2 linked regions of the Oryctolagus cuniculus genome follow. The protein of the gene in region 1 purifies or fractionates together with the protein of each later gene. This does not show direct contact. Links are inferred from orthologs where the notes say so. Each region holds a gene or a part of one and is shown in the gene's direction. Other genes may lie near its edges.

Region 1 (6,357 bases):
GGCTACTTTGTCTAAAATGGTGAAATAGTGTAAAACATAAAGGGATGAAATACAGAACTTGTAATGTCCTGGCCAGACCTCGAGTTCTGTGATTTTTGTTCTGTGCACTAAGTAGAGCAATTTGCACCAAGACGTGAAGGCAAGTCTTTGTTCCTGTTATTTTTTTTTTTTTTTTTTTTTTTTTGACTGGCAGAGTGGACAGTGAGAGAGAGAGACAGAGAGAAAGGTCTTCCTTTGCCGTTGGTTCACCCTCCAATGGCCGCCGCGGCCGGCGCGCTGCGGCCAGCGCACCGCGCTGATCCGATGGCAGGAGCCAGGAACCAGGTGCTTTTCCTGGTCTCCCATGGGGTGCAGGGCCCAAGCACCTGGGCCATCCTCCACTGCACTCCCTGGCCACAGCAGAGGGCTGGCCTGGAAGAGGGGCAACCGGGACAGAATCCGGCGCCCCGACCGGGACTAGAACCCGGTGTGCCGGCGCCGCTAGGCAGAGGATTAGCCTAGTGAGCCGCGGCGCCGGCCCTGTTCCTGTTATTAAAATTACTGTTATTGGCAGGACAAATTTACTTAAAGTAAGGTCATCCTTAAATCGAAGTGCAGTATGAGCAGCACCACGTTGTTTGAATGCACACGTAGTAGGAAAAGCACCTGAAACACATAGATGGTGGGTAGCATGTAAGAAAGCCGTGCTCCTACTTTACTTTTCTTACAATGCACCTTTACAAGTGACATATATATATATATGAATGAAATACACATGCACTATAGGACATTTAAAACATCCAGAGCATACGTAATTCCACAACTGAGGGAGGAAAACCAACCAGCATTCCGATGTCTATCTTTTCAGACTTCTATCTGTGGACACATCCATTTTGTGATGCATCCTTTTAATGTGTGTGTATTTCAGAAGTTTCCAAACCAGGAAATTTGTAACCTCTTGCTTGACTCAATAATGTGAACCATTGTTTCTTATTAACCTACTAGATTCGTATCGTTTTTTGAAACGGCTGCTGCACTTCACACACCTCTCAAGTTTGGTCATTGAAGTGGTCCCACTTGTTCACTATTATTAGCAACAGCAAAAAAAAAAAAAAAAAAAAAAACCAAAAAACTCCAACATTTCTTTTTAGGGTAGAGGTTGTATTTCCTGGCAGCTGAGAAAGAGAAGGGGTTAAGGGTATAGAGCCCCACGTTCAGTCTCTAGGGAGTTAGAAGACGAGTCGAGGACCAAGAGCGAGAGAGCTCATCCTCTTTAGAGTCCATCTGGTCCCAGAGGAAGTTGCTGCATCAGGGGTCAGATGTGTCTATTAGGGTATCAAAGAACACTCGCCCGAATTAAAACTCCTGTCCTTCCCAACTGCTCGATTTGTGTACAGAAATACGCCTTCACAACCGCCCCATCTGCCACCGTTCCGGGAGTTGCAGACACAAGCCGGGACTCCGCTCTCGGCCCCCGCAGAGAGGAAACCGCGTCCCGGGGCCTGCGCGGGGCGCGCGGGGCGCACTCCGCTCCCGGGCCGGGGCCCTCCCGCCACCTCGGCCAGGTGGGCTCCAACTCCACTACCCCGCCGCCCCGACTCTGCCCACCCCCCAGAGCTGAGCGTGGCACGGCTAGGAACAGAACTCAGCGACGCGTTAACTTGGTCAGGGAAAAGCGAGTCTCTTCTCGCAGCGCGGGATTTACGGGAGTCTACACTGCGCGGGGCGCCGCTCCGCACGCTCGTCTGAGCGCGGCCGCGGATTCCAGGGCTAAGCCGGCGGCAGCACGCGCTCCGAGCAGGTGGCCGCTCGGCCGCAGCCGCCCTCCTCTGCCCCTGCGCCCCTCGCTCGGCTCGGACGCCTGGTGTCCGCGGCGGCCGGAGGAGAAGCATCCTCCACGCCGCCAACTCCATCAATGGGACTCCCCGCGTGGGAAACGTCCCCTCCCGGAGGACTTGCCCTCCGACGGCCCAGCCGCTCGCTCGCCTCGCCTCCCTGGGCCGGGGCGGGCGGACGCCACGAGCTCCTCCTCCCGGACCCCGGGTGGACGCGGCGCTCCCTCCGCGGCCGGAGCGCAGCCGGCACCACCCGCCGCCGAGGGGGCGGGGGCGATGCCGCGGGGGGCGGGCGCGGCGCGCGGGGAGGGGAAGGGGTTCTCGCGCGATTGGGCGAGGTTTCCGGTGTTGTGACTGAAACCCGTCAATATGGCGGCGATCGGCCGCGGCCGCTCTCTGAAGAACCTCCGAATACGAGGTAAGCGCGCTGCAGCCCTCACTCCTCACCTCTCGGCGCCCGCCACCCCTGGCACTTGCCTTCCCCTGGCCCTGGGTCGGGGGAGCGGAGCGGGGGCGCTGGCCGGAGCCTGGGCAGCCGCCGCTGGCCTGCGAGCGAATCCTAATTGGGGCTGTGTGTCTGTTTCGCGCAGGGCGGAATGACAGCGGCGAGGAGAACGTCCCGCTGGATCTGACCCGAGGTAACGCGGGGCGCCGAGAGCGCCGGCGAGGGCGCGCTGCTGGGGAGGAGCTGGGGCCGGGGCGGGCCTCGCACGGGACCCGCGACGGGGACGGGGGGCGCAGCCCGAGCCCCGCCTGCCGGCCCGCGGGAGCCCCGCCAGGCCGCCTCGCTGAACCCATCCCCCTTCCCGGTGCCCGCTTCACTCTGCCTGAACCCTTCTCTGGGGGCCTCGGGCTGCCGCGGGGGGGGGGGGCGGCTGGGGAGCCGCGAGCGGAACTGGCGGAGCCGGCGACCCCTGGGCTCGGTGGCCCCCGGGGGCAGCGGCTTCCACCCGTGCCGAAGCTCGTGCCGCCGGCTCCCGGGGCCGGCCGGAGGGAGGTGGAGGTTGTTATTTGGGTTGCAGGAGGATGTTTGAGGGAAGAGCGACCACATCCTGCCCTCCCCGTCTCCCGGCGCAGAAGCCGGACCTGCTGGCTTTTTTGCTCACTGCGTGCCTGCCTTTTTTTTTTTTTTTTTCTCTTTGCCCCGCGTCCTGTGGGGACCGCCAGCATCGGTAGCTCGGTGCTGAGCCCTGGAGCCGGTCAGGACTGCTGCGTGGCTGGTTTCCGCCGTGTTTTCCTTCTGTTTCTGTTTCCCGGGCCGCTGGGACCGTGCTTCGCCGAAGACCGCCCCCTCGCCCTGCTGCAGGTTCATTGTTTACCTCCTGCAGTGGCGACGGGTTTGTTTACACCTTGGGAACTGAGTGACCCTGGCTTCTCTTTTGAAGGACCGGCTCCGGCTCCACTCCGTATTCTCCATAGCAGGGACGGGACCGTAGTGGGGTTTTATTCCACCTTGTCTTGCCGAAGATTGCGTGATTGGGTACTTGCGACGAGGTTCTTTTCTGCTGCACGATAAACAGGATTTGGTCTGCTGGTTCGCGCCAAGTCCCGTTGCGTACCAGCTGTAGCTTGTGGTGTAACGTGGTTCAGCTGCATAGCATCAGTTGCTTGTTGAGCTCTGTAAAGCGCTGTAGGAAGTTGAAGTCGTCGTAAACAGTCGATACGCGGTCGATGTGCTACTTAACCCTATGTTCTTGACGTAACAATCGCTCTCCACGTATTTATGGTGGACGTGGGCTTGGTGTTGAGGATCATCGCTGAATTAAAGCGTAGTATGATTTGTTCTGTATGTCCTGATGGGAGGTAGCCTTTGTAAACTGGAAGGCCGGTTTTCATGGAGCTACGAGAGTGTATTTTTGTAACCGTGTTTTATTCTGCAACTTCAAGGACGGAGTTTTCGTGAACTTTGGTAGGCAAGAGAGTTTCAAAAATACAATATAGTAGGGCTTGAGTACTAAAAATGGCACTGATTACGATCACCAGTGCACTGCTTTGGAGCAGTTTTTCAGCAGCTTAGAGGTTAGAAAGTAGTGAAGAAACATGTCGTCAGCCTTTCGGCTTTTGTGCAGTAGTTTGAAAACTCTATATGACAGACATAGGGAAAAAATTTGTATGAAATGTTTGCTGTTTTCAAGGAAACCTGTGAACAAAAATAAGGGTCATTCTTAACAGGCCTGAAATTTAGCATTTTGAGTTAAATAACAGATGTAGTTTATTAGAGATTTGTGTACACACACACACACACAAGCATGTGTGTTTTTAGAGGGAGGTGAAAAGTACATACTAGGTAAACTTGAGGTCAATTTGTGCATTAAAAACCTACTTGGGCATGCTAGAAATAAATTTTAGTTGTACCTTAAATTTTGTTGAATTTATTGAATTTGTTGAGCTATATTTGTATTTCATTGTTTTTCTGATATCAAAAATTTTGGTTGTATAAAAGCTCAGATATAAATTTGGATACCTTGGGTTTACTCTAGTTTTACTCAGGTACACATGTAGCTCTGTATGTTTATTATTTAAAATGCTATATTCTCTAATAATTTATTTTATAAATAACTGTTCATAAGCATTTCCAGGATTATATAAAAATAATACAGAGACTACTGTTTGTTTGCCCTGACAAAATGTATTTCAGTTTGGAATACATGTACACAGCCAGTTGAAACCAATTTCACAAGTGATTTACAACTATGAGTGAGAGGTTACATGAGAACTCTATTCCTGAATCATAAGGAAGTTTATAATAAAGAAAATCTGAGTTAGATTCATTTTATAGCAACACTGTTTAAAGAAACTATTATTCTGACAGACGTTTCATTGTTCAAAAAAGGCTTGTGGATCTAACTTGAAGAAAGTTCATGAGGAATTAAACTTTAGTAATGATTTGAGAACTGTGAGGCAGTCTGGGTTACAGCTGAAGGGCAGCTGTTTGTGGATTGAATTACAGTATGTAAAAAAGATAAAGTTCAGGCAACCAAATAACTTTTTGATTAATGTCAAGGCGCCGTTTTCTCTTACTCTAATTATTTTCATGTAATCTTTGAGAGGTTTATTGTATAGATATCTAACAAAGTTCTTTATAAAATAGAAGTTAAAATCATTGTAACCCCTAAGGGAGCCATTAGTGTGTGATGAAAAAGAGCTAACTATGAAGTCAAATAATTCTGGGTTGTAATCTCAGCTGTGATATTTAGGAGGTGGGTGATTTGGCGCAACTTATTTGACCTTGCTTAACCCCTCCTTTCTTCATCTCAAAAAGAAGAGGTAACCTCAAAGGATTATTGAGAATCTGAGAAATAAATGAGGTAGTTCTTATAGTACTCAGTACAGGATCAGGTACTTTGTCATATTAGCAACTTTCCTACCATGTCAAATCAAGATTCTTAAATCACATTGGAGATATTTCAAATAATTGTTTAGAGTATGTACATGTTAATAAGAAGTAAGGATTTTGGTATTCAAGCTTCCTTTTGTTGAGACCTTGTATTGTACTAATTAAGTATAGTTTATCTGAAGTAGAGGTCCTGAGTGTAATGACTATAAAAAGAGAACTCTTTTTTTAAAAAATAAAGATTGCCAGTAAATTAAGTCTAATGAAGTACAACCCGTTATATGCACTTAAGATGAAATGTGATACTTTATTTTATAGAATCTTAGAATTTTTCTGTGACTTCAGAAAATTTCTTAAGCTGACTAGGCTAGTCTTACGAGCTTCTTGGGGCCTGCTGGTGTTCTAAGGTTCTTTGATTCTGGTACTAGTGTTAGTGCTGTGCTTCCTACTTGGAGTTTTGCAGTTAAAAATGTTGATGAATTAAGTTTGACCTAGGATCAGGATTTTGTAGTAGATTCCACAGTGAACTTGTTGATCATTTTTGCTTTTCATTTTATTCTCTTAGCTACTCTACTTAATTTGTGAAAGTCCCCAATATTTGCTATTGATATCATTAAATACTGTCTCTGTGCTGCCTGCCAAAATGTATTTTGAAACTCAAATGCTTCCCTTAGCAACTTCAGCTGAAAAGATAGCCTATTTAAAAAAGCAGTCCAGTAGTGTATCTCTTCCTGGTACTAAATAACTTGAAAAGACAGTGTTCTTCCTGGGTATGCCCTGCTAGTATAATTATTATTTGAAGTGAATTCTCAGAACATGGACACCTGGATTCAAATAAAATTATTAAAATATGATTTATTTAAAGTGCTATTAAGTTTTATTATATTTTGTTATTCATTTCCATTAGTAAGAGTAAAAAAGTTGACTGTCTTAGTTTAATAAGCAGAAAAGTAGGAAGGTCTTCTGAAATGATATGGGATTTCAACATTAACTTTGTTTTCTCTTTTCTTCTTGTTAGGAGGTTATTTGTTCAAGCTATTACTTCAGTAGATGAAATGTACAGTATAAAATGAGAACTGTAAAATGTATACTAGTTGCTGAAGGAATACAATTGTGAAAGGTGTTGCCCCCTGTTGAGCAGTTTGGTGGTACAGTCATAGAGATGTGATAGCAGTTTGGAACAATAAATTAAGTAGTCAGATTGTACAA
Region 2 (5,642 bases), on another chromosome or scaffold:
TAAGCATGAACACTCCGGCCCTTCCCCTCTCTGGGCCTCCGTTTCCCCACTGGAGAACTCGGGTTGCAGCTGAGAGCTTTGGGGTGAGGTGCATCCTGAGAGGCACCCCACTTGGGGACTTTGGGGTCTGGGGATCTTGGCACTCTGGGCAAGTACCCAGGGATAGGCAGTGGGCCCTTCCTTCTCACAAGGGCTCCTGCTTGGATTAAGGGGACAAGGGGAGTCCCTAGCTCCGGCCAGATCCGCAGACTCCCATCCCTACCTCCCAGGGGCCTGAGTCCCGGGCCGGGGGAGGTGCATGAGCGGGTGGGGCTGGCTGGTAGTGCAGTAGCACCAGCGTCGACTGCTTGGGTGGCCAGCATGGCGGGGCCCAGCCCAGCCTAGAGCCCCAAAGTGCACTGTGTTGCCCGTCTCCCTCCTTCCCTTCCTCTCCTGTCCCCCTAGCAGTGACGTTATTCAGGCCATCCCCTGGCAGGCACAGAAGTTTGCCTGCCCCAGCCAGGGGCACCTCTAAGAGGGGAGAATGACTTGAGGGCCTCTAGAGGCTGTAGGCCGGCCACTCAGGCAGGGTGGCCAGGGAGCAGGTTAGAGGGAGGCTAGGGTTTTGGAGCGGGGCTAGACAGCCTTGTAGAGTAGACTTTGGGATCGGGGGAGACCTGGTGCATGTGCAGGACTCAGACTAGGGGGTAGGGGAGAGGTTTGCATTAGCCTTAGTTTACGTGGCCCATGTGTGCAGTGTGGAGGCAGGGAGCCCAGCTCAGGGGCTGAAGTCACTTTTGGGTAAGCTGGACGGGTGGCTTGGGCCAGGCCAGTGGCCATGGGATTTCAGGTGGGAGCCCAGCCAGGACAGGGTACTTGGAGAATAGAGTAGCTAAGACCTGCTGATGGGCTGGGAAAGGTGGGAATCGGGGGTAGTTGTGAGGCTGGAGCCCTAGCCATGAGCTGGGTGGTGTGGGGTGCAGGTGAGTGAGGCCTCCCAGGGCAGCAGATAGCCAGCTGTAGAGCCCAGGAGACCCACCTGGGCTGTGGTCAGTCAGCATAGTGCCTAAGCAGGGGGAAGAACCCTTGGCCAGTAGGGGGACTTGGTGGCAGACTGGCCAGGGGTGCCCCCTGAACTTGACCCTCAAGCAAGTTTGGTGCTCCTGGCTGCTTCCTTGGCAGGAGGCCAGGCTACAGGGGTGCTCTCGCTGCCAGGCCTCACAGCCCACAGCTCCCCAAGCCTCCACAGCTGAGCCCCAGATCATAACGTCACTGTACCTCCCCTTTCCTCGGGCACTCTGGGGCCCTAGAGGCTATTCAGCTTCTCTGCCCTTGCAACCCAGTGGTGGTGGCTGTGGCTTGGGCCTCCTGTCCCTGTCCCCCTGGGTGCTGCCACTGCTCTGCCAAACCTGCTGTGCTGCACTGCCTGGGTGCTAACCTGGCTGCCTCCCGCCTCCCTGCTCCCGCCTGCGCCGGGCTGCCTCTCACAGTGAGCCGCTGGTTGAGCGAGCATTCTCAGTTGTCAGGAGACTCCAGTTTCACCTCCAGGCCTGGAGGGGGGTAGGAAGGCAAGTGTCACGTCCCCCCACGCTGCAGCAGGACTCTGCCTCACCGCGTCCACACAGCACTGGGGGCCAGGGCTGGGCCACAGGGGGTCCAGGCAGCCGTGGGCCTGGCTAGAGCGCTGCTGTTTGTCAGCACGGGCCACGATGCCAGTGAGGCCAAGTGGGGCAAGGGAGGGAGGTGGCGGTAGATGCTCATGCCGAGATGGGCCCTTCCTTCTCTTCCTGGGCACCCGAGTGCCCCCGGTCAGGCCTCTCAGGTGTCAGGGCTTGAGGTGGTCAGGAGAAGCCTTCCTGTCTTCTGAGAAAGCACTCGCCATCCCAGCTGAGGGTGGGGCGGGAGGCCTGGCTGTGCTTGGTGGTGGCGTTGAGGCCTGGGGGGCAGCCGGAAGACAGGAGCAGCCCAAGCGCAGAGCTCACGTGCTGGCCTCCCTTCGGGGACCTGCCCTGCCCTATCAGGTGCTGGCATCGGCCCCACCATCCAGATCGGGGAGGAGACGGTGATCACCGTGGACACAAAAGCGGCAGGCAAAGGCAAAGTGACCTGCACGGTGTGCACCCCTGATGGCTCAGAGGTGGACGTGGATGTGGTTGAGAACGAGGACGGCACCTTTGACATCTTCTACACAGCCCCGCAGCCAGGCAAATATGTAATCTGTGTGCGCTTTGGTGGCGAACATGTGCCCAACAGCCCCTTCCAAGTGACGGTAAGGAGGGCCCGGGGGCAGGATGCAGGGGGCTCTTGACAGGTCCAGCCTGGCCCGTCCCCCAGGGCCCCGCTGCGACAACAGACTCTCCAGCTCCCGCTCTGCTCCACAGGCTCTGGCTGGGGAACAGCCCGCGGCACAGCCCCCGTTACGGCCTCAGCAGCTGGCCCCACAGTACACCTATGCCCAGGGTGGCCAGCAGACCTGGGTACGGCAGGGCTCACCACCTCGCGGATCGCCCGGCCCAAAGAGATGTTCAGGGCTGGTGGGCAGGGAGTCCCATGGGCCCCGGCCGCTCTGCCACCTGCGAGGAGGGACCCCCACGTGCCCCCACAGCCACTTACCTGGGCCCCGTGTCTCCATGCAGGCCCCAGAGAGGCCCCTGGTGGGTGTCAACGGGCTGGACGTGACCAGCCTGAGGCCCTTTGACCTCGTCATCCCCTTCACCATCAAGAAGGGCGAGATCACCGGTGAGCATGAGGCGGGAAGGAGCGCGGGAGCCCGGGCGGCCGGGGCGAGCCACTGGGCGGCCCTGACCCAGCTCCGCTGCCCCACTGCCCTGCTGCCCCGCAGGGGAGGTCCGCATGCCCTCAGGCAAGGTGGCACAGCCCTCCATCACTGACAACAAGGACGGCACCGTGACCGTGCGCTATGCGCCCAGCGAGGCTGGCCTGCACGAGATGGACATCCGCTACGACAACATGCACATCCCAGGTGGGCCACCCTGCCTCTGGCCGGCCGCTGCCACCGCCATCTCGCAGAGAGGTGGGGGTGGAGGCACATGAGGCTGCCGTTTGACACGGCCCCCTTCCCGCCTCAGGGAGCCCCCTGCAGTTCTACGTGGATTACGTCAACTGCGGCCACGTCACTGCCTACGGGCCCGGCCTCAGTCACGGAGTGGTCAACAAGCCCGCCACGTTCACCGTCAACACCAAAGACGCGGGAGAAGGTGAGCGGCGCGTGCTGGGCATCCGGGACCTCCCCACTGGGGCGGCTGAGGGCTGAACGTGGGCGGGGTCCCTAACGGGGTAGCCCCGCCTGCCGGCCCCCGCCCCGCCCCGCCCCACCAGCGGGGCTCCTCCTCAGCAGGCGTGGCGGCGTGTCCCCGGGCACGGTGCCCACCCTCACCCGCACCTCTGGCCAGGGGGCTTGTCGCTGGCCATCGAGGGGCCTTCCAAAGCGGAAATCAGCTGTACGGACAACCAGGACGGGACGTGCAGCGTCTCCTACCTGCCCGTGCTGCCCGGCGACTACAGCATCCTGGTCAAGTACAACGAGCAGCACATCCCAGGCAGCCCCTTCACCGCCAGGGTCACAGGTGGGTGGCACTGGGAGCGGGGGTGGGCGTGCTCTCCCCTTGCAGCCCGACGCAGTGACGGATGGCCGCCCCCCGCCGCCCCCGCAGGTGACGACTCCATGCGGATGTCCCACCTGAAGGTGGGCTCTGCGGCCGACATCCCCATCAACATCTCGGAGACGGACCTCAGCCTGTTGACGGCCACCGTGGTGCCGCCCTCGGGCAGGGAGGAGCCCTGCCTGCTGAAGCGGCTGCGGAACGGCCACGTGGGTGAGAGGCTGAGGGGACTGCGGAGGAAGAGCGGCTGTGTGGGCGGGCGTGGGTGGGGGTGTCCGCGCCCGCCCCCGCTGACAGCCCCGCCCCGTGCCCAGGGATCTCATTCGTGCCCAAGGAGACAGGGGAGCACCTGGTGCACGTGAAGAAGAACGGGCAGCACGTGGCAAGCAGCCCCATCCCGGTGGTGATCAGCCAGTCGGAGATCGGGGATGCCAGCCGCGTGCGCGTGTCCGGCCAGGGCCTCCACGAGGGCCGCACCTTTGAGCCCGCGGAGTTTATCATCGACACTCGAGACGCAGGTAGGTGGCGGAGGCGGGCCCGCGGGGGCGGGGGACGTGGGTGGCGCTGGGCAGCCTGGCTCAGGGCTGTCCATCGCCCAGGCTACGGGGGGCTCAGCCTGTCCATCGAGGGTCCCAGCAAGGTGGACATCAACACGGAAGACCTGGAAGACGGCACGTGTAGGGTCACCTACTGCCCCACGGAACCCGGCAATTACATCATCAACATCAAGTTCGCTGACCAGCATGTGCCTGGTAGGTGTGGTGACAGTGCAGCCCCGCCCTCCCCCCAGCCCTACCGCACCCGGGTGTAACCCGCGCGGGGCATGGGCCGCACTCTCTCCCTGCAGGCAGCCCCTTCTCCGTGAAAGTGACAGGCGAGGGCCGGGTGAAAGAGAGCATCACACGCAGGCGGCGGGCCCCCTCGGTGGCCAACGTTGGCAGTCACTGCGACCTCAGCCTCAAGATCCCTGGTAGGGGCTGTGGGGAGCCAGGGAGGGCTGCTGGGAGCAGGTGGGGGCACAGACCTCCTACCCACCGGGCCACCTCCTCCCTGCAGAAATCAGCATCCAGGACATGACCGCACAGGTGACCAGCCCCTCGGGCAAGAGCCACGAGGCCGAGATCGTGGAAGGCGAGAACCACACCTACTGTATCCGCTTTGTGCCTGCTGAGATGGGCACGCACACAGTCAGTGTCAAGTACAAGGGCCAGCACGTGCCTGGAAGCCCCTTCCAGTTCACCGTGGGGCCCCTGGGGGAAGGAGGAGCCCACAAGGTTCGTGCTGGGGGCCCTGGCCTGGAGAGGGCTGAAGCCGGAGTGCCAGGTAGGCCCGCTTGCCCACCCAGCTCTTGCTCTTCTGGGTGCCCGGGGGCAGTGGGGGGGAGGCTGCCGGCAGCCACGCCATCGGGGCCATGGCGAGGGGCTGAGGGCAGAGGCGCAACCCTCCAGGAGGAAATACCGCTCTCCACAGCCGAATTCAGCATCTGGACCAGGGAAGCTGGCGCCGGGGGCCTGGCCATCGCCGTCGAGGGCCCCAGCAAGGCCGAGATCTCCTTTGAGGACCGCAAGGACGGCTCATGTGGTGTGGCCTACGTGGTCCAGGAGCCAGGTACCGGGGGCCTGGCCGGGGCTGGAGCAGGTCCTCAGGGAGGGAGCCGGGGTTGTCTTCCCCACCACCCTGGGGCCCCCACCACCCTCCACCTGCCTCGAAGCCTCAGAACGCCCCGCCCCGGGCTGTTGGTGGGGCAGGCAGGAGGCCCAGCCTCCGAGGAGCCAGACCTCCCATCGTGCCTGGCCTGGGCTGGCCCAGGATAGCCTCGTGTCCTCTCCCTGCCAGGTGACTACGAGGTGTCGGTCAAGTTCAACGAGGAGCACATCCCTGACAGTCCTTTCGTGGTGCCTGTGGCTTCTCCGTCCGGCGATGCCCGCCGCCTTACTGTTTCTAGTCTTCAGGTGAGGCACTGAGAGAAACTGGCCACCTGGGGCTCCTGGGCCCGGCCAGACCAGAGGCACCGCGAAGCACAGGCCAGGGTTCTGTGCC

What was found. The genes of interacting proteins can lie anywhere in the genome.
Region 2: the proteins of RICTOR (region 1) and FLNA purify together in Homo sapiens (affinity purification with mass spectrometry; 3 studies listed by BioGRID and IntAct, with this or other methods). This does not show direct contact. The link is inferred for Oryctolagus cuniculus from reciprocal best matches to the Homo sapiens genes RICTOR and FLNA.

Annotation. Positions count from the first base shown.
Region 1 is NC_091445.1:64,473,867-64,480,223, reverse strand, and holds the start of RICTOR (rapamycin-insensitive companion of mTOR), read left to right. Parts: upstream 1-2,124; 5' UTR 2,125-2,183; coding exon 2,184-2,232; intron 2,233-2,404; coding exon 2,405-2,452; intron 2,453-3,586; exon of another isoform or gene 3,587-3,723; intron 3,724-6,357. UniProt on the Homo sapiens protein: Component of the mechanistic target of rapamycin complex 2 (mTORC2), which transduces signals from growth factors to pathways involved in proliferation, cytoskeletal organization, lipogenesis and anabolic output.
Region 2 is NC_091453.1:132,580,527-132,586,168, reverse strand, and holds part of FLNA (filamin-A), read left to right. Parts: intron 1-2,000; coding exon 2,001-2,248; intron 2,249-2,360; coding exon 2,361-2,456; intron 2,457-2,615; coding exon 2,616-2,718; intron 2,719-2,821; coding exon 2,822-2,962; intron 2,963-3,068; coding exon 3,069-3,197; intron 3,198-3,392; coding exon 3,393-3,566; intron 3,567-3,653; coding exon 3,654-3,815; intron 3,816-3,916; coding exon 3,917-4,120; intron 4,121-4,201; coding exon 4,202-4,354; intron 4,355-4,449; coding exon 4,450-4,572; intron 4,573-4,658; coding exon 4,659-4,925; intron 4,926-5,072; coding exon 5,073-5,210; intron 5,211-5,438; coding exon 5,439-5,554; intron 5,555-5,642. UniProt on the Homo sapiens protein: Promotes orthogonal branching of actin filaments and links actin filaments to membrane glycoproteins. Anchors various transmembrane proteins to the actin cytoskeleton and serves as a scaffold for a wide range of cytoplasmic signaling proteins.